Linked DNA regions of Schizosaccharomyces pombe. The gene in region 2 interacts genetically with the main gene of each other region. Each region holds a gene or a part of one and is shown on either strand. Other genes may lie near its edges.

Region 1 (3,719 bases), on a different chromosome or scaffold from region 2:
GGAATCTTCAATTAATTTTACCAAAGGCTTCCCTAAGGCTAAAGTTGTTAAAGCATTGCGTGGTGGGCAAACTACATTTCATGGTCCTGGTCAAATACTTGCATATCCTATTATTGATTTGAAGTCCTTTGGATTAAGTCCACGTGAATATGTGTCAAGGCTAGAGCAAGCGATTATAGCAACATGTAAAAGCTTTGGCATCGAAAAAGCTCATACAACAAAAAACACCGGTGTGTGGGTAACAGAAAACGATAAAATTGCAGCAATTGGTATTCATTTACGCCGAAATATTACTAGTCATGGTCTTGCGCTCAATGTTAGTACGGATCTTAAGTATTTCAATTACATTGTGGGTTGCGGATTATATGGAAAAAACACTACCAGTTTTAAAGACCAAGGAGTTTTTACTGACTTAAAGTCTGTAGAGAAGGTACTGGTAAATAACCTTGATAGCTTTTTAATGAGTAAATAAATTTAAATGTATTAGAAACAGTATTACTTATAAAAAATATAATGCAATAACAGTAATGCTATTCTTGCGATAATTTGGTTTATTAAAAATTTTTTCAGTAAATTTGCGGGCTTTCCTTCCTTTTGGCCCCTATAAAATAGCTTATCAGCAACCATAAAAGATACAATAAATAAAACATAACATTAATAACAGTGACTATTTGTTTTTGAAATTGCACGAAAGATTAAAGTTAAACTACTTTGCAACTAAAGGGTTAAACGGAAAGAGATTTCCAAAATGAAAGTGTTGAACAACAGGATATTTGCTCAGCACTTCCACATCGTACATTTTTATCAATCCCTTGAAAGTAATTAGCTTAATAAATACACACTTCTTAACATACCTGATTGACCTTTGACCATATAGGAACAGCGGTTATATCATACAATATTGGGGAATGTTCGTAAAATGGGCCCTTTTTCATCACGTTTATAAACTTGATAGCACTAAAATACAAGTTGCTATTAGCTTTTTCATCCACTATTTTTTTGTTAAGTATAGCATCAGGCTTTATGATGGAAGATGATGCCTTATCAGCAAGTTGGGCAGAACCAAAAATATAAGGAATAAAAAAATGATCATCAAGCCCCCAAACTCCATGTGAGCCAGCAGGCTCTAAGCGATAAGTTTGAACGAGCTCACGACAAACTTCCAAGTAAACATGGGTTATGTACAAGGCGATAGCTTTATAATCTGCGGCATCTAAAAGTCCCAGCAAGTCCAAGCCCTTAATAAAACCCAAAAAATTTAACTCATGACCCGTACCAAAGTCAATTCTTTGAGAATTACCAAACGATCCCAAAAAATAGTCCAGTAACTCCACTTTTGCCTTACTCAATGAATCAGGAATAATGATGTCCATAATTTGAGAGGCGGAGTCACGTAGCTTTTCGTGCCATATTCGAAAAGCAGGATTACCAAACCGATGCCGACCTGATGCAGGTGGTACAGTTTTAGTAATTTCTTTAACTCTACACAATATTCGTACTAACTTTTCAACTCTTGTTGAGTATTCCACATGATAATCGTTCACACCCACAGATGCAATATTGAGACGCTGTAAAAAATCAAAAATTCGATAATATGCTTTCGATTGTCGAAACGCCGTCATATCGCTCGCCTCCACGATTAGTTTTTCGGGAGTTTTAAACTGTGAACTTTCATCAAACCTTTCATTTTCAAGCTCTAGTATTGTTTTCTCATCTACGACTTGCATTGTAAAGCAATAAACAATGAATCAATCAAGTTCGCGTATACGCCAATAGATTTACGACACTCACTAAGTTACAGGCTTTGATGAACGACTCTTTATTAAAAAAAACCAGGACCAAGTTAAAGAATATAACAGCAACTATAACAGCATTTAAAAACAGCTTGATATTGCTTTCATCAAGATAGAGTATAATAGCAGTATTCGAGAAGAAGCATTTAGCTTATTCAATAACTTGATTAAGATTAGTTTAACGATAATTAGTACTATGGATGTGATTATATCCTAAAATCTTTATAGTGATGTATCCATATGTTAATTCGAACCACTTCATAACAATACGCTACCGAAATAATTATCTCCTAATCAATATTTAACGATATGTTTATTCAATACAATCGATGCAAGAAACGAATATAATAATTTCAACCAGTTTTTACCAAACTGAAAAACAAATGGGGAGAAGCAGCAAAGATAAGGTATGTCTCGTGCGTTACTGAAACCTTGTAAATACTTAACTTTGTAGCGAAAAGTTTACGTTAATTTTATCGAAGTTATATCGTATATTAATGTGTAAACTTTAATGTTTCTCAGTCGCATATAGAAACATTTTAGTTTATTATTTCATTTTTTTTTTATTGCTAAATAATTATTTAACTATTTATTTTGTTAAAATACTAACTTTACACTTTTTTAGAGAGATGCCTATTATCGTCTGGCGAAGGAACAAGGGTGGAGAGCCCGCTCAGCTTTCAAATTGCTCCAATTAAACGAACAGTTCAATTTATTTGAAGGAGCAAAAAGAGTTGTAGACTTATGTGCTGCACCGGGGTCTTGGTCTCAAGTTTTGTCTCGTGAGTTACTCAAAAACATTGATACTTCCATTGCCGCAGATGAGAAACCTATGATTGTTGCTGTTGATCTTCAACCCATGGCACCAATCGATGGGGTATGCACCCTGCAATTAGACATTACTCATCCCAACACCCTTTCAATTATTTTGTCTCACTTTGGTAATGAACCGGCTGATCTCGTAGTTAGTGATGGTGCCCCAGATGTTACTGGTTTGCACGACCTAGATGAATATATTCAAGCACAGATATTGTTAGCTGCATTTAATTTAGCGGTTTGTGTTTTAAAGCCTGGTGGGAAATTTGTTGCAAAAATTTTTCGTGGACGAGATGTTTCACTGTTATACTCTCAGCTTCGTTTGATGTTTCGAAAAGTTTCTTGTGCTAAACCAAGAAGCTCTCGTGCTAGCTCTATCGAGTCCTTTGTCGTTTGTGAAGATTTTAACCCCCCTTCTAATTTTCAACCCGATTTAACAAAACCTTTATGTGTAATCGATCCAACCAATGCTCATGAGATTGCACCATTTATTGCATGTGGTGACCTTGATGGTTATGATGCGGACGCTACTTATCCCGTTGAAATAAATATGAAAAAGGCTACCTTAGACGTTATACAACCTCCAACCGCTCCTCCTTATAAACGAGCTATCGAATTGAAGCATAGCAAGATGATGTCGTAACCTATTATTCCAATTGTCTCTTTTTTATTTAATCTTTTCTTTCGTTTAATTTAGCAGTGGGTTTTACTATTGTATATTATATAGGTATAATCTATTTTTGAACCTATCATTCTTTTTTCATAAAAAAATTAAAGAAAGCAGGATGTGTTCGGTATACTTATAATCAGAATTTCCTCTTATGAATTTTTATCTAAATCAATTACTTTTGATACACACATGCTTTCGTTGAAAGACTTGCTAGTCATGTTTAACTTTATACCTTGCTATAGCAAATCATGGGGTTATGATTATAATTGTCATGTGGATATCATTTTCATAACTATAAGAGAGGCAACTAGTACTACTCATAGCACGGCCAACAGATACGAGTTCGGTAAATTTCATGGCGTTCTTATGAACCCATAGTATCATGAGGTGTAAGACATAAACAAACTTGGTAAACTATTCATCAATAATGATTTTTTCTT
Region 2 (4,096 bases):
TCTGCTCTTCATATTTCTCGGGATAAAAAGCTAACTACTATCTCGAAAGATGCTCGTTCAGCTGTTATGGCTTTTCTAGAAATGGACATTAAGAAGAGGTTGGGTCACTCCAGCAAGAAACTTCAAACACATCCATTTTTTTGCTCTATCTCTTTGGAGACCGTTTCCAAGGGCAACCTGACTCCTATTTTCCGTCCGAAATCTGGAAAAGTATATGTTGACCCAATTTTAGATTTGGAGGCTACTTTTTAAACTAATGATTCAATGTTTACAAAACTAATTAATATATATGATTATTCAAAGATTCTCTCAGCTACGATTTGTCTTTCGGTTCATGTGTTACATAGTATTGCTATTTTTTTACTATTTTTTTTTGCTTGCCTGATAGTCTCGTCTCTTATTTTCCCTGGAAAAATTTTGACTGCGTTTCCACTTAAACTATTTCAAACTTCATTATTTATAACTTTGAATTTCTGAACTATTCTAATCGAGCGATACGAAATTACACGAATTAATTAATATGACATTTATATCACCAAACACCTGTTATCCGTAGTTTTCTGCAAGTAATAATCCAAACAAAGGGAATTCTTTAATAAAATGTACACTAAACTCCTAACAGACATTAAACTTTTGTTTTTTATATCCACGCATATAAATGTTATATCAGCATCCATAATACACTTTTTCGATATCCAATCTACCGACTACGGGTTCAGCAACACTTTCTAGAAATGCTGTAACAATGGTAACCTTTGGGAAAATATAAGCCAGCGCTTTAATACTTTCAGAGTAACAAACATAGACCACAATTATAATGTTTTCCTCTGGGACCCCGAAATCCACTAAAATTTGCGTGGCCATTAAGACATCTGCATGTGTAGTTAAATGTGAAGCCATCAAAACAACATTCATGGTAGCAATGCCACGGGGCAATTTATGGTAATGTAAAGTTGGTTCTTGAGTAACTTTATTGATTTGCACCAAAATCTTACCCAAACACACTGTTGGAAATTGACGACATAAAGCTGTTTCAAGAGTTCCGCCGGATCGCAAAACTGAAACACCACAAAGCTCTTTTGCCATTTGTAGACCTTCCCACTGGTTTCCGTTATGCAAAGTAATCGTTTTCTTTTCATATGCAAGCGAATCACCTGCCAAATTCATCAACATGGTGCCAATTCTGCTCAAAAAAAATTGTAAATCATCAGGGTGTGTATTTTTGTTTATAAGAATAGTCCTGATGGCAGATATTTCAGGCGTAATTTTAAGCTGAACTAAATTTAAGGGTAAATGGGGAATGGTTGGTACAATTTGCTGTAAACTATCAATGTTCTTAACATGAGTTTCACTTTGTATAGAAAGTGTTCTACGAATAAAATTAATCACCATATCAATTGCCAATTTATTGTCCCGGCCACGAGGAACGATAAGATCAGTGTAAGATAGTTGACGCCTAACGAAGTTCTCATAACTTGGCTTGACAAATTTATTATATTGTTCCAAAACGCCAACTATGTCCCTTCCTCGATAGTTGATATCGCGATTCAGTCGACGAGAGAGACACACGTCCGAATCTGTATCTAGAAAGACCGAGACGTCAAGGAGAGAGCGAATCTTTTCATCGTATAAAGCAAAAATCCCTTCGAGAATAATGATACTTGCTCCGAATAACGTGTTGGTCTCAGGAAGCCGATTATGCTCATTGAAGCTATATATAGGAATGTCAACTTTACGGCCTTGTTTAAGTTCTAGCAGTTTTACGAAGAGCAAGTCCCAATCAATGGCTTCGGGGGAATCAAAGTCATAGTCGTTGTTAAATGCTCTCTTCTTCTGCTCTGCATTCAAAGATTTGTAAAACGAGTCAAGGGATAAAATAACAACATGTGGAAGATTTAACGCCTTTACAATCAATTGGGCCACCGAGGTTTTCCCACTACCCGATGGTCCTGCAATTCCAATAAATCGCACTTTACGCCATGGGGGTTCATAAGTTGGGTTGCTTGAATAACGCTCAAAAGCTTCAGGCATAATAACGAAAGAAATAAAATAAATAAGAAGCCCAAAAAAAAGGTATGCTAGCCTCCAAGGAAATATTACTAAAGAAAGTTTAAAAAAAAAAAAACTGTAGAGCAAAAAAAGACTAATTGGTGAACCTAACGTTTTTTAAAAGGTAAATTCTGTCTTGGCGTGAAACGAAAATATTCCACAATTTGTAGAGCCAAAGATATTTATTCAAACAGAATTAATTCAAGTAGAATGATAATGGTTTCCTTATCTTACTCTTCTCAAACTTGCTTAGTTTTTTCTATAAATCACAAATCTCGAGTTAGCAATACCATTAGAAAAATATATATATGTATACGAACCCAAAGGAAGGAAAAATGTTAGGAAATTTTAACATAAATAGAAAGATTTTCGAAATGTCTTTTTAAATAACTAGTAAACTAGTTGAAACAATAAATTGGAGAAGGGTAAATCCAATATCATTGTTTTTTCATCCTTTGGTAACATTATCACTGTGACTTTTTCAGTCAGCGCCTGAGCCGCGGTAATCATCGGGAATAAAGAAAGAGCAGTTTGTTTGTAGAACGGAAGTGAGAAGTTTTTTTGCAATACCTATTACTAAATTAATGAATTATATGTAGATTTAAAAGAAATCCGGCAATTAATATTCGAAATTAATCAATTTTGACTATGTGAAAATTGTAACATTCGTGACATGTTGGAAGCTTGTACCAAAATTTGATATTTAATTTAACTTTAAAAATGTATTTAATAAAAATAGGCGACAATAAGGAAATTTAACATATTGGCTCAAATTCAAAAACGCAAGAGAAATCTTGCTTTGTTTATATAAATAACTAAATCAACACGACTAATACTTAATACGCATTTCTTAGAAAAACAGATTCAAATTATTTTTTACCTTCCAAAAATGATGAAATAAAAAGAACAGCTAGGTTGAGATCGTCTCAAAGTTCAATAAATGATTTTGCCGCTCGAAGATTTAGATTGTAGCTTTGCCATTTTTTTTAAACCTAAGAGAACTGACAAAAAGGAATATGAAAGTTTCTTTTGTGCAGAAGAACCAAGTAAATGGACATAAGTTTATGGCAGGTTTTATGATATTGAGAACTCGTCGCTTTTGTTCGTAATAGGCAATTAATTTCAAATTAGAAAATAGTATAAAGGATATTCAGTTTGACCCATCAAGTAGAGTAATCCGCTATTAATGGTGTGAAAAAGTAGAAAAATTTGAAAAAAGCGTACATTTTCGAATAGAAACCCATTTACATGCTTACTTAGCACACGCAAAATCCTTAAATTTCTCTTCCCTATATCGAGAGAAGTGAAAATATAGAATAGTGAATGCATCAAACGCAAAGATTTGAAGCCGGTGCAATGTTAAACATATTTGACGGCTAATCGTCACAAAAAAATGACATTGATGACCTCGAATTGCGCAAATTTTGACTTCATATTTAAAACTCGAAACTCATGAATATTAAGCCTAGATAATTTGTTCGCATAATTTCTTCTCAATCCCACAAATTAATTATCCATGTATCGATAGCAATGGAATCAATTGATTTATTAAATTAAAGTAGATATCTTCCCCTCCTCATTTGATTAGAAAAAAATCCTTGAATTTCACATCACATTTACTCGAAAAGTTTTATCATAAACTTGCTGTAGAATTGAAACTGTAACTGCAATTTAAACCAAATAAAACGCTTTTTAAAATAAACAAAAGAGTACCACATGACTAAATTCCTCATCTTCCTTTTACCAACGTTTGTTGTAATATATTACCCATGCCTTTAGTAATGATAAATTGCACTTATTGAGCTAGAAAATAGTGAATTGAAATAAATCTAATATTTTAACAAACGATATCACGCTATAGCCGTTTTATAATATTTGCCATCTTTTGTTCGTTTCACATTGACACACCTCCATCCTCTCTTTCCTTTCACCTATCTTGGCGAACGAATTCTTAACCTGCTAATTTATTCACTTCAGGAGTAGGAATTGACAAGTGAGAAAAATTAATAATTAAATATTTTTTTTAATATCGTTCTTTTACATTATT
Region 3 (6,038 bases), on a different chromosome or scaffold from region 2:
TTTCCGTTTCCCTAAGAAATCCTGATGGCCATATATCAGAATTAAGAGCTGCATTACCTGTAGTCTTGATGATACCTCCTCAATTATTTGGCGATCGTGCCGAAGTAGAGTCGTTACGCGAGAATTTTGAAAGTTTTAATCAGCCTTTACCTAGCTATCAAAACAGCATGTATGATCGTCTTTACGATGGTTTGAGCTATTCCAACCTTGATACACCTCTCCCTAGTGGCGCAACTACACCAAGGCGACGCGATTCTATGGAGCCCACCTATGCTTCTAATGAAGCTCATAGGCGACAACTCATTGCTGGTTTGACAGAGTTGGCTCTACAACAACAACCGCAAGGAAGGAGCCCCAACGAACATTCACCGTCAAATCATCCTGAAGATTTCCCGCCTTCTTTCAGTTTAGGCTCTAATCCATCCAGTGGAGCTGCCTCTGCTGTAATTACTAGAAACCCTTCAGAAACTAGTTTGGCAGATCTGAGCAGAGTCCCTTCTTATAAGGAAGCAACAAGATCAGCCGTTCCATTAGAATCACCCTTACAATCAACATTACCTAGTTATGAAGATGTTGCACGAATTGAGCACCTTTCACGTCCTCCATCACCTGGTATCGTTACTCCACCACAACGTACATCTCCTTCATTTTTTGTTTCTCCAACTGAAAGTACACGACAATCCTTGGATAGTCGTAGGTCATTCGAACACTCCACATCTTCTTCTTCGGGTATAAGCCCATCTCACAGTAGTGCTTCTTTAGCTCATCTTTCTCAAGCCTCCAATCCAAATGGATCGTCTTCTGCCCCGCATAGGCCCACATCAGCTCGTGTAGGAAGTCACCGAAACGCACTAGACGCTTTAAGACGGGCGCGTATGCTTCCATCTGGATTTTCAAGAAGAAATTGAAGTTTTGAGCACTATTTTTAAATTTTTGCGCAAACATCGGAAAAAGAGTATTCATTACCTGTACTTCCGTACATTTGAATGCTGTGTTCTTAAAAAAGCCTAAATCAATACAAACATCTCATGGTCTGCATGCACAAAGCTTGAACGTGAAGCTAAGGTGTTAAAATTTTTATTATTATTTATTTTTGTGCCCTTCCTTTTGATCTTTTTTTTTTTTTTTTTGCCGGTTGAAGGTGAATGAATACTTAGTTTGTGGCACAATGTCATGATTCTATTCAATTAGTACTGCGTCTCTTTGCTTAAAACTCTTTCCTAAAAGTGAGGAATATCAAGCTTAATATGGATATACAGTCATAATTAAATTTTTTATTATTTTTACTTTTATGGTGGACTTATTGAAATTTCGAGGAAGGAGTAGTATTTCGTTAAGAATATTTCATGTAATTCTGCGCTTATATTTTCAAATTTATCTTCAGAATATTCATCGATAAATTTATTGCCTATAAGAATTCAAAGCTTGTACATTTTATAATTTTGAAGCAGGAGGTTATGTCATTATATCCGTTCCTTTATGTAGCATTCGCTTTCATGTCGTGTTAAAAAAACCATTTGGATGCATAGTAGATTATTAGTATACTCCCTACGATTGCCAGCACCATTGTCATGATTCTTCGTCGTCCGGCACTTCGAACCACACGGAAGAAATTTTCGGTGGATTTTTTAACAGAATTTGAAAGTCCTGAAAAGCTTTCAGTCTATAATAATACAGGTTAGGTAAAAACTCAAATTTTTTTTTTTAAATTACATACAGCCCGATCAATTCGAGTATAGTCATTGGCACGGGAATAAATATCGTAGGTTACGTTTTTCAAAGAAGAAACCTGCCCAGACAGAGTTTCCAAACGCCGCTCATTTTGATCATTCATTATAGAAATAACTTTTACAAAAATGAATGTACATACGTTAGCATCTTTCTATATCACTTGGAGTACTACCAAAATTTAACGACATTTAGGACGTGGTGATAAATCCTTTAACGAATCTCCTAACTTGATTCTATTTTCGTCGAGCTCAAACATAATGTTATCTACAATTCTTAGCATCAGCCGCCTAATTATTGCTTTATCAAATGCCAATATCGATCGGACTACTTATTAGTAGGTAAATGGTTTGGAAGTTCATCGTTTCCATCCATTTTTAATGAGCAGTAGGATCCGTTCTTTAACATCTGAGTTATTTGAGGAATTGCTATTCATCGCTAAGTCAAAACATATAATATATTTGTATAGGTACTCGCTACCAAAATATTTGGATCCATTACTGTTTCCTGTTTCCAAGTAAAAGGGTTTATTTATCCGCTGCGTTTTAGACTCAGGACACACTATCTTTCTGCAATACTTTTGAACCTGAATTCATTCAATAAATTGAATTCGACATCATATAATATAAATTTTTATTTTTTACGTTTGAATTGGATTTTTTGTTTATAATTGCATTGTTTTAAGAGATTAATAATTCATTTATTGTTCTCATGAGTGTTCGGAAACGGTACAAGGTTACTTATGTTCTTGATTCCTGTAACGATCAACTAGGGCACCGTTTGGATGCTAATTGTCTAGTGCTAGGTCGGTACTTTTCAGAACAAGGGTCAGCACCAGTTACTAGAGCACTTTACAGTGGTGGCCGAGATGGACAGCTTTTCGGTTGGGACATCGGGTATGATTATGGTAAAGCTTCCCAGCCCTTAGCCAAAATCCAGGCTCATTCTGCTTGGGTAAATGATATAGCTTTAACACATGATTCCGAAGGAGGTAAGCCTTTGAAAAATTTAATTATCTCTGGAGAATAGCGGTAGCCTTATAGAAATTGACGTTCTAACATTTATTAGTGATATCTTGTTCTTCTGATTCAACGGTGAAACTCTGGAAGCCACATGTCTTGAATGCTTCTTGTTTATCAACAATTGGCGAGCATACCGACTACGTAAAGCGCGTAAGCATTCCCAAATATTCCAAGAGTCCGTTAGTCGCTTCGGGTGGGTTGGATAAAAGGATAATTGTATGGGACTACAACGTAGGTCAAGAAGTTATGCGATTTGAACAGTTACCTGACTGTTCTCTTGTTGTTGGTCCAAGATCTGGTGTTTACTCGCTGGCAGCGAATAACAACATAATTGCTAACGGCGGACTACAAAAAGACATTCAGTTATGGGATTGTGTTTCCAAGAAAAGGATTACAGATTTAGTCGGTCATACTGACAATGTTCGAGATATTCTAATTAGTGATGATGGCAGAACAATTCTCACAGCCTCTTCAGACGCTACAATAAAGCTTTGGTCTCTAAGGGCGCAAAAATGTTTATTCTCTTTCATAGCTCATTCAGACAGTGTATGGGCATTATATTCTGAGCACCCAGATTTAAAAGTATTTTATGCTGGTGATCGCTCAGGCTTGATTACTCGTACTGATATAAGAAACCAGCCTAACAACCAAAGCTGTACTGCAATATGCAAGCAGGATGCTCCTGTCTCTGACATTGTTGCTCGTCAATCTTTCATATGGAGTACTAGTCGTGATGGCTCCATTCTTCGTTGGAAGGATGAGCCCCTCTTTAATCAGGACGTGGGAGCAGCATTATCTAAGCATACCTCATCTCATCTTTCTGTATCATCGGACTGTCCCTCGAGACATTCTTCTGACATACGAAATCATAGCTGTCCAACATTATATCACGACGATGCTGAGGATATATATTATGATTTGCATCATACTGAGAGCTATTCTAACATCAATTTAACCAAAACCCCTGATTATGTTATTCATGGTGGTATTGGTTTGTTAAAATATCGAATGTTGGGTGATCGAAGGCATGTCTTAACTGAAGACGCTGTCGGCAATAAATGTTTGTGGGATATACTTGCTTGTAAGCAAGCCGGGGAATTTGATAAGTCAGAAGATTTTGAAAAGATTGTTCAAAGTTTGGATACTGTTCAAGCAATACCTAGGTGGGCTTCTGTTAATTGCCTTTTGGGGATTCTTGCTGTTACTCTTGATGAAAATCACTACATGGATGCCGAAATTTATGCTGATGAATGTCCTCTTCTGAAGGTTGATTCCCCTTCTGATAAAAGAATAAACTTAGGGGTGTGGATTTTAAAAAATTTATTTCGTGAATTTATTGATGCCGAGCTTCATCGTGATTTAAAATTTAGACAAAATTTAGATGTTGTAAGGTCTGAAGCTAAGAAGCAGATAGAAGCCCAGAGAGAAGAAGCAAGAAAGGGAAATGTGAATATGCCATCAGCTTTGTCTCCATTGAGGATTCGATCTCGTCCATCACCTTTATCTCTTCCTCCAGAACCTTTACTTTCTCCTACTATAGATTATTCCGCTACCCCATTCCCCCTCGAGCCTCCCCCCGAAAGTCCTGGTCCGTCTCTTCAAATTCCATCAAACAACCCCGTTTACACAAATTTAACAGATACAGATTCTATGATGGGTGCGCCAGATTACTTTTCGATCCCCGCCAGGCAAAATCGTAACAGAAAGCCACATACTGAGGTAGTTGGATCCCCTACTGTTGTGAGAACGAAAGAGATAATTCCCCCCAAAGTAACTCGTGAAGGTTCATTTATGGGCAGACTTAAAAAACTTGGAAGATCAAAGTCATCCAAATCATTACAAACCGATTTTATGAAAGCTTCTGTAGAGAGAGCTGCGTCAAGCCGCGTTTTCAGTACCGGGACTTCGGTAACTTCTCCGCAAGCATTGTCTAAAACTAATAATACTGTTAATAATGCTGCAAATACAGAAAATAACACACTAGCTAAAGATAAGCAACAAACTTCAGAGGCATCATCACCTGGTACCCCGCGAGAGCTGAAAACGACTGGTGAGTTGATTGAAGATCTTCATGAACAATATGTACATTTTAAGGATAAAGACACCGTTCTTAGTTTAATGAAACCACCAAACGATGATACGTTTCCCATGTTAAATCTTTCGAGTCAGATTACTGTTATCATCAGCGAAGAATCTCCTGAAGCCGGTAATTCTCGTGACATATATCGTTCTACTCTTGAGAACATGGCTGACGATATTGACTTACTTGAAAATATTATGCCCTTTTGGCTTGGAAGATTACTGTTATTAAACGAATTTCCTTCTAAAACTGCCCCTACTGTTAATTTTACTCTTCAGCCTTTTCCTGGAAGTGGTTTACCGCTTATTGTAAATGAAAACACTCGTTTAAGTGCTAGTGCTATGCTTCGTGCTCAGAAAATTATGGATTATAGCTATAGCAAGCTTAGCCAACAAAGAAAGGATGTATCATCCCTTCAATTTAGATGCAAAGATGTCGTCGTTACCCCCAAAATGACATTGGCAACTGTTAAGGCTCGAATTTGGCGATCTGGAGACGACGTTGTCTTTCATTATGATGTTGCTCCTAGATCTGTTTCAGAAATTGTTGATAAAACCCAGAGTCTTAATATTTAAAACTTAAGTTTGATTAAAATTTTAATTGATTTCATAATCCTGTCGAAAATAATGTACAATAAAATCAAGTTTTCAACCTGTATAGTACCGGCCAAATAAGGTTTTACCATGTCCCTCTAGAATTAATGTAAACACCGTCCCTACTGGTTTGTTTTCGCCCATATTTCAATATAAGAGCTTCAACTCTTGATTTCGACAAGGCAAGATCTTTAACGAAACTCCAAAGTTCTTCATATAACCATTTCGACTTAAGTTGAAACAAAGATTGAAACCGCCTACTTGGTTCTCTCGGTAACTGATCTCCTGATAAATACTGAATCGTATTTGGGGTATCGTGAAAATAATAACCCTAAAGAGTTTTAGCATTAGCTGACTAAAATGCCCTACCTTTAATAAATTCAAAGAAGGAAGTCCTTTACAAGGATACGGAAGACGATTATCCCATAACTGAATGAACTCATCGGAGCTTATACTGTTGATGCCTTCTAACAAAAATCGCCCATACCAAAAAGTCGTCAACTCTAAATCGATATTGAATTTTTTAGGTAAGACATTGTCCTTAATGGGTGAAGAGATACTTTCAAGAACACAAATTACTGAATCCCAATCAAATTCGTCATCCATAGCTGGCTT
Region 4 (3,650 bases), on a different chromosome or scaffold from region 2:
CGATTTACGTATGCATCTCCGTCTGGATCTAGTACACTTGAACCAGTATCTTGCTTGCTGCTTGGCAATGGTAAAGAAAGACCTCGTTCAAAACTATCGGTATTATTTCTCCGGATAGCAGGAGTAGAAGGAGCACTTGTACCTACATTTCTATTATCGAATTGAAATCCGACGGTAGTGTTTGGTCGAGGTTTTTTTGATATCTAATCATTAATGCCAGCAAGCTGAACCCTTAACTAGTGAAAAGGGGGCAGCCCAAGCAACACTTGTTAGCAAATCATTATTTCAAACAGGCAAGATAGGGTAGTACTCGGAAAGAAAGGCTCCATTCAACAAATTGAACAGCTGCAATTTGCGTACAGGTGCAACTTTCATGTCTTACATAAAGAATAAGAGAAACTACCTCTGATCTTCTTAAAAAATTAGCATACCTCGGATGTCTCAGGTCTCCAAAAAGAAGGAATAGCAGGGCTTTCAGATAAAGCCGACATGCAATCAAATAAAAGAAAAAGATCAATTAGAGCCAAAAAAGAGAGTAAAAAGAATATCCAAAACTGGGAATTGGGAAACCGGTGTTTGGCTAACAATTAGTAGTACGCGGATCGCGACGCTAATTTCCTCAGTTGAGCTGGTATCGTGTTAAATATTTTGTAAAAGAATATTTCCCTCTTTTTAGTAATGTTCATGGAACAATTGGTGAAAAACATAATATTAAAAGGTCACAAGAAAATTTTTATAGCTAAAATATTCTTTTAAAAATAATTCGAGCAAGTTCTCAGGCAGGTGTAGGAAATAGATGGATATTTAATAGAAATTACCCTTGAGAGCAAATAGAGCTGATTCCTTTATCCATGTAAGATGGAAACATAACTTTTGACGTCCCCAAGAACATGCACTCTTAGATAGGTAAGCACATCAGTGATGGAGTAAGTGTTGATATATCCAGGTATTGCAGACGAGTAACAATAATGAAAGTTGAAATGGAGAATTGTTTACAGCATGATATCCTGTTCTTCAATTTTTATGCAATTTGAGTCCCCAACAATTGAATCGATCAAATGGGAGAACCCACTAAATTATTGAAGAGTATTTTGAAAAAATAGTTGAGGTATAAAATACCCAAGAATTCAACCATTAAACGATAAAATCAACCGAGAATGCGCTTTTGCTGATATGAATTTATATGAAACTTCTTCTTTGCTTTTCAGAATAAAGTTATACATACAAATAAACAATTATTTACGCCGAAAGCAATCAAAGATCCTTAGAGTATTACTTATTCTCTTAAAAAAAATTAGAGCATTACTACTTCTGGTTAAAGTCAGATTCACACTTTGTTCAATTATCAAACACATCCCATGGATTGCTTTTTTCGGTACCTTCCTTGTCAAAGAAACAAAAATTAAACTTAAAAAGAGAAAAAACAAGATCTTTACGAAACTGAATTAGTTTAATTTGATGCATGAACGTAAATGATAACTAGATATTTGAGGTCAACATGTCAGTCTACTGCAGCAGAAGTTTTAACAAAAACAAAAAGAATAAGATTTTGGCAACAAACAGCTTTTTTTTTTTTTAATTATCATTTTTCGGACTTATCATGTTTGTATAGGAGAAACTCACATTTCAAAGAATTCATAACACTATCATCTCCACAACCTACATAGTAACCACCAAATGCGAAATTGGTTCGAGAGCAACTCACCAATTTAAAACATCCTCTCTCTTATCTAGCAATTAAATTTTTATATACCAGTTCCTTCATTTACCAAGGAAATCTGATAAAGACCCAGACTTATTTAGTCTTGCTTATTGACCGGTTTATCACTTCTTCATTCATTTGACTTTAGGAAAAAGCATCGAGAAATCAACATGTCTTTTTTTACCCAGTTGTGTTCTATGGATAAAAAATATTGGATCTCTCTAGCTGTATTGTCAGTTACTGTTTTGATTAGCGCATTATTGAAAAAGAGAGCTACTGAAACCGAAGATATTGTCGTTGTTCATTACGATGGCGAAAAGTTGAATTTTGTGTTGCGACAACCAAGGCTGAATATGGTTTCTTACACTAGTTTTCTTCGTCGCGTGTGCAACGCATTTTCAGTAATGCCCGACAAAGCGTCTCTCAAGTTAAACGGGGTGACCCTCAAGGATGGTTCACTTTCCGACCAAAATGTGCAAAATGGAAGTGAATTAGAGCTCGAATTACCCAAACTGAGCCCGGCAATGCAACAAATTGAAGCATATATAGATGAGCTTCAACAGGATCTCGTCCCTAAAATTGAAGCCTTCTGCCAATCGTCTCCCGCTTCGGCACAAGATGTTCAAGATTTGCATACACGCCTTAGTGAAACATTGTTGGCTAGGATGATAAAATTAGATGCTGTTAATGTTGAAGACGACCCAGAAGCTCGTCTTAAAAGAAAAGAAGCTATTCGTTTATCTCAACAATATTTGAGTAAACTAGATTCCACCAAGAATCAAAACAAATGAAAAATGTGTTATAATTTAACAATTCTTAGTTGCTTGGGAGACGATGGTTCCGTCGGCTATGGTTTTTTGGATATGTAAAAACTGATTGACTAAACAACTCCTACAATATTTTTCCGTTTCTAACAACTTCTATACCAAGGTTCTGCAAACAACTTGTAGCACCCAATTTTAAGTTTTTATGCTGGCTTGAATTTTTGTTTTTCTTTTTTTGATACCGCTTGCTCCTCAACTATTAAACTGTTCTACTCTCAATTTATACATAATCTTTAAGCATTCATAATGCCATATTTTCTATTTTTGTCGTTACAACTGTTTTTTCTTACATTTGCTCAACTGCAGCCGTATCATTAATTTTTGTAAACATTCGTCATTGCTTTTTGTTTCTTCCGGAAGGTTGGATAGTCATAGTGTTACAAATTCAAAATACTTTTTCTTATGATAAATGGATTTCAAAACTGTATACCAATTCTAGCATATCAACTCCACATCCTTTACTTCCTTCGTAATCACTTAACAAAAACTCAACGTTCCAATGTTTTATACCATTAATATCGAAGAGTGAAATTTAGAACAGCTGGTTATTTTGAAATTTAAGAACCATGTCTATTTAAAACTAAGGTTAAAAGTATTTTATCATTATTATTTGACTTGACTGCATCGTCAATGTATTATGTAGACTTATTAAACGTTACTCAATATTTATGTAACATGTTTTCCCCTTTCCCATTTATAAATAGTTTAATTTCCTCAAATACTTTATACAGCCCTCCTGAAAAGTCATACATATATTAGCATTTGTCCACCAACATTCAATATATTTTTAATATTATATATCGGTATTTATCGGTGTATCAGAACACGAATAATATGCGTTGTAATTCGTAATAAATATTTACAACGTCTTGTGTGTCGTAATGTGAACAAGTGAGCATACTTCAAGTTCATTGTATGTTTCATATATGAACACAGAAATTACATGCTTTTTAAAAGCTGAAAATTTTAATCAGAGTATAATAAAATGGTAACTATTTTTGTTTTAAGACAAACATTAACCGTTAGACTGCCATTTTTAACTTTGAAAGTTTGCTTTTCGTTATACTATTAACGATCTGCACATGTACTTATTTACACCGTCAATTCCCTGCTTTATTAGAAAA

The links.
Region 1: mutations in urk1 (region 2) and ypa1 together harm fitness more than expected from each alone (negative genetic interaction), as found in Schizosaccharomyces pombe (2 studies listed by BioGRID).
Region 3: mutations in urk1 (region 2) and bun107 together harm fitness less than expected from each alone (positive genetic interaction), as found in Schizosaccharomyces pombe (2 studies listed by BioGRID).
Region 4: mutations in urk1 (region 2) and bag102 together harm fitness less than expected from each alone (positive genetic interaction), as found in Schizosaccharomyces pombe (one study listed by BioGRID).

What each region holds. Positions count from the first base shown.
Region 1 is NC_003424.3:4,834,403-4,838,121, reverse strand, and holds ypa1 (type 2A protein phosphatase regulator), read right to left. Parts: upstream 1,928-3,719; 5' UTR 1,728-1,927; coding exon 855-1,727; exon of another isoform or gene 812-854; coding exon 707-811; 3' UTR 532-706; downstream 1-531. Other genes in the region: lip2 (lipoate-protein ligase), read left to right, coding at 1-472; trm7 (tRNA 2'-O-ribose methyltransferase), read left to right, coding at 2,177-2,200, 2,419-3,252; aspartyl metalloaminopeptidase Ape4, read right to left, coding at 3,694-3,719. UniProt on the Schizosaccharomyces pombe protein: PPIases accelerate the folding of proteins. It catalyzes the cis-trans isomerization of proline imidic peptide bonds in oligopeptides.
Region 2 is NC_003421.2:1,554,380-1,558,475, reverse strand, and holds urk1 (uridine kinase/uracil phosphoribosyltransferase), read right to left. Parts: upstream 2,478-4,096; 5' UTR 2,370-2,477; intron 2,309-2,369; 5' UTR 2,032-2,308; coding exon 667-2,031; 3' UTR 563-666; downstream 1-562. Other genes in the region: serine/threonine protein kinase Ppk33, read left to right, coding at 1-252.
Region 3 is NC_003424.3:412,967-419,004, forward strand, and holds bun107 (WD repeat-containing protein), read left to right. Parts: upstream 1-2,024; 5' UTR 2,025-2,439; coding exon 2,440-2,719; intron 2,720-2,796; coding exon 2,797-5,405; 3' UTR 5,406-5,508; downstream 5,509-6,038. Other genes in the region: rod1 (arrestin/PY protein 1), read left to right, coding at 1-908; SNARE protein Sft1, read right to left, coding at 1,505-1,663, 1,718-1,834; Ctf18 RFC-like complex subunit Dcc1, read right to left, coding at 5,509-5,754, 5,793-6,038. UniProt on the Schizosaccharomyces pombe protein: Required for the ubp9 recruitment to septa and cell tips but also for its enzymatic activity at these specific locations.
Region 4 is NC_003423.3:790,102-793,751, reverse strand, and holds bag102 (BAG family molecular chaperone regulator Bag102), read left to right. Parts: upstream 1-1,668; 5' UTR 1,669-1,872; coding exon 1,873-2,493; 3' UTR 2,494-3,088; downstream 3,089-3,650. Other genes in the region: Tea1-anchoring protein Mod5, read right to left, coding at 1-203, 432-491; protein ksh1, read left to right, coding at 3,512-3,514, 3,553-3,650. UniProt on the Schizosaccharomyces pombe protein: Inhibits the chaperone activity of HSP70/HSC70 by promoting substrate release.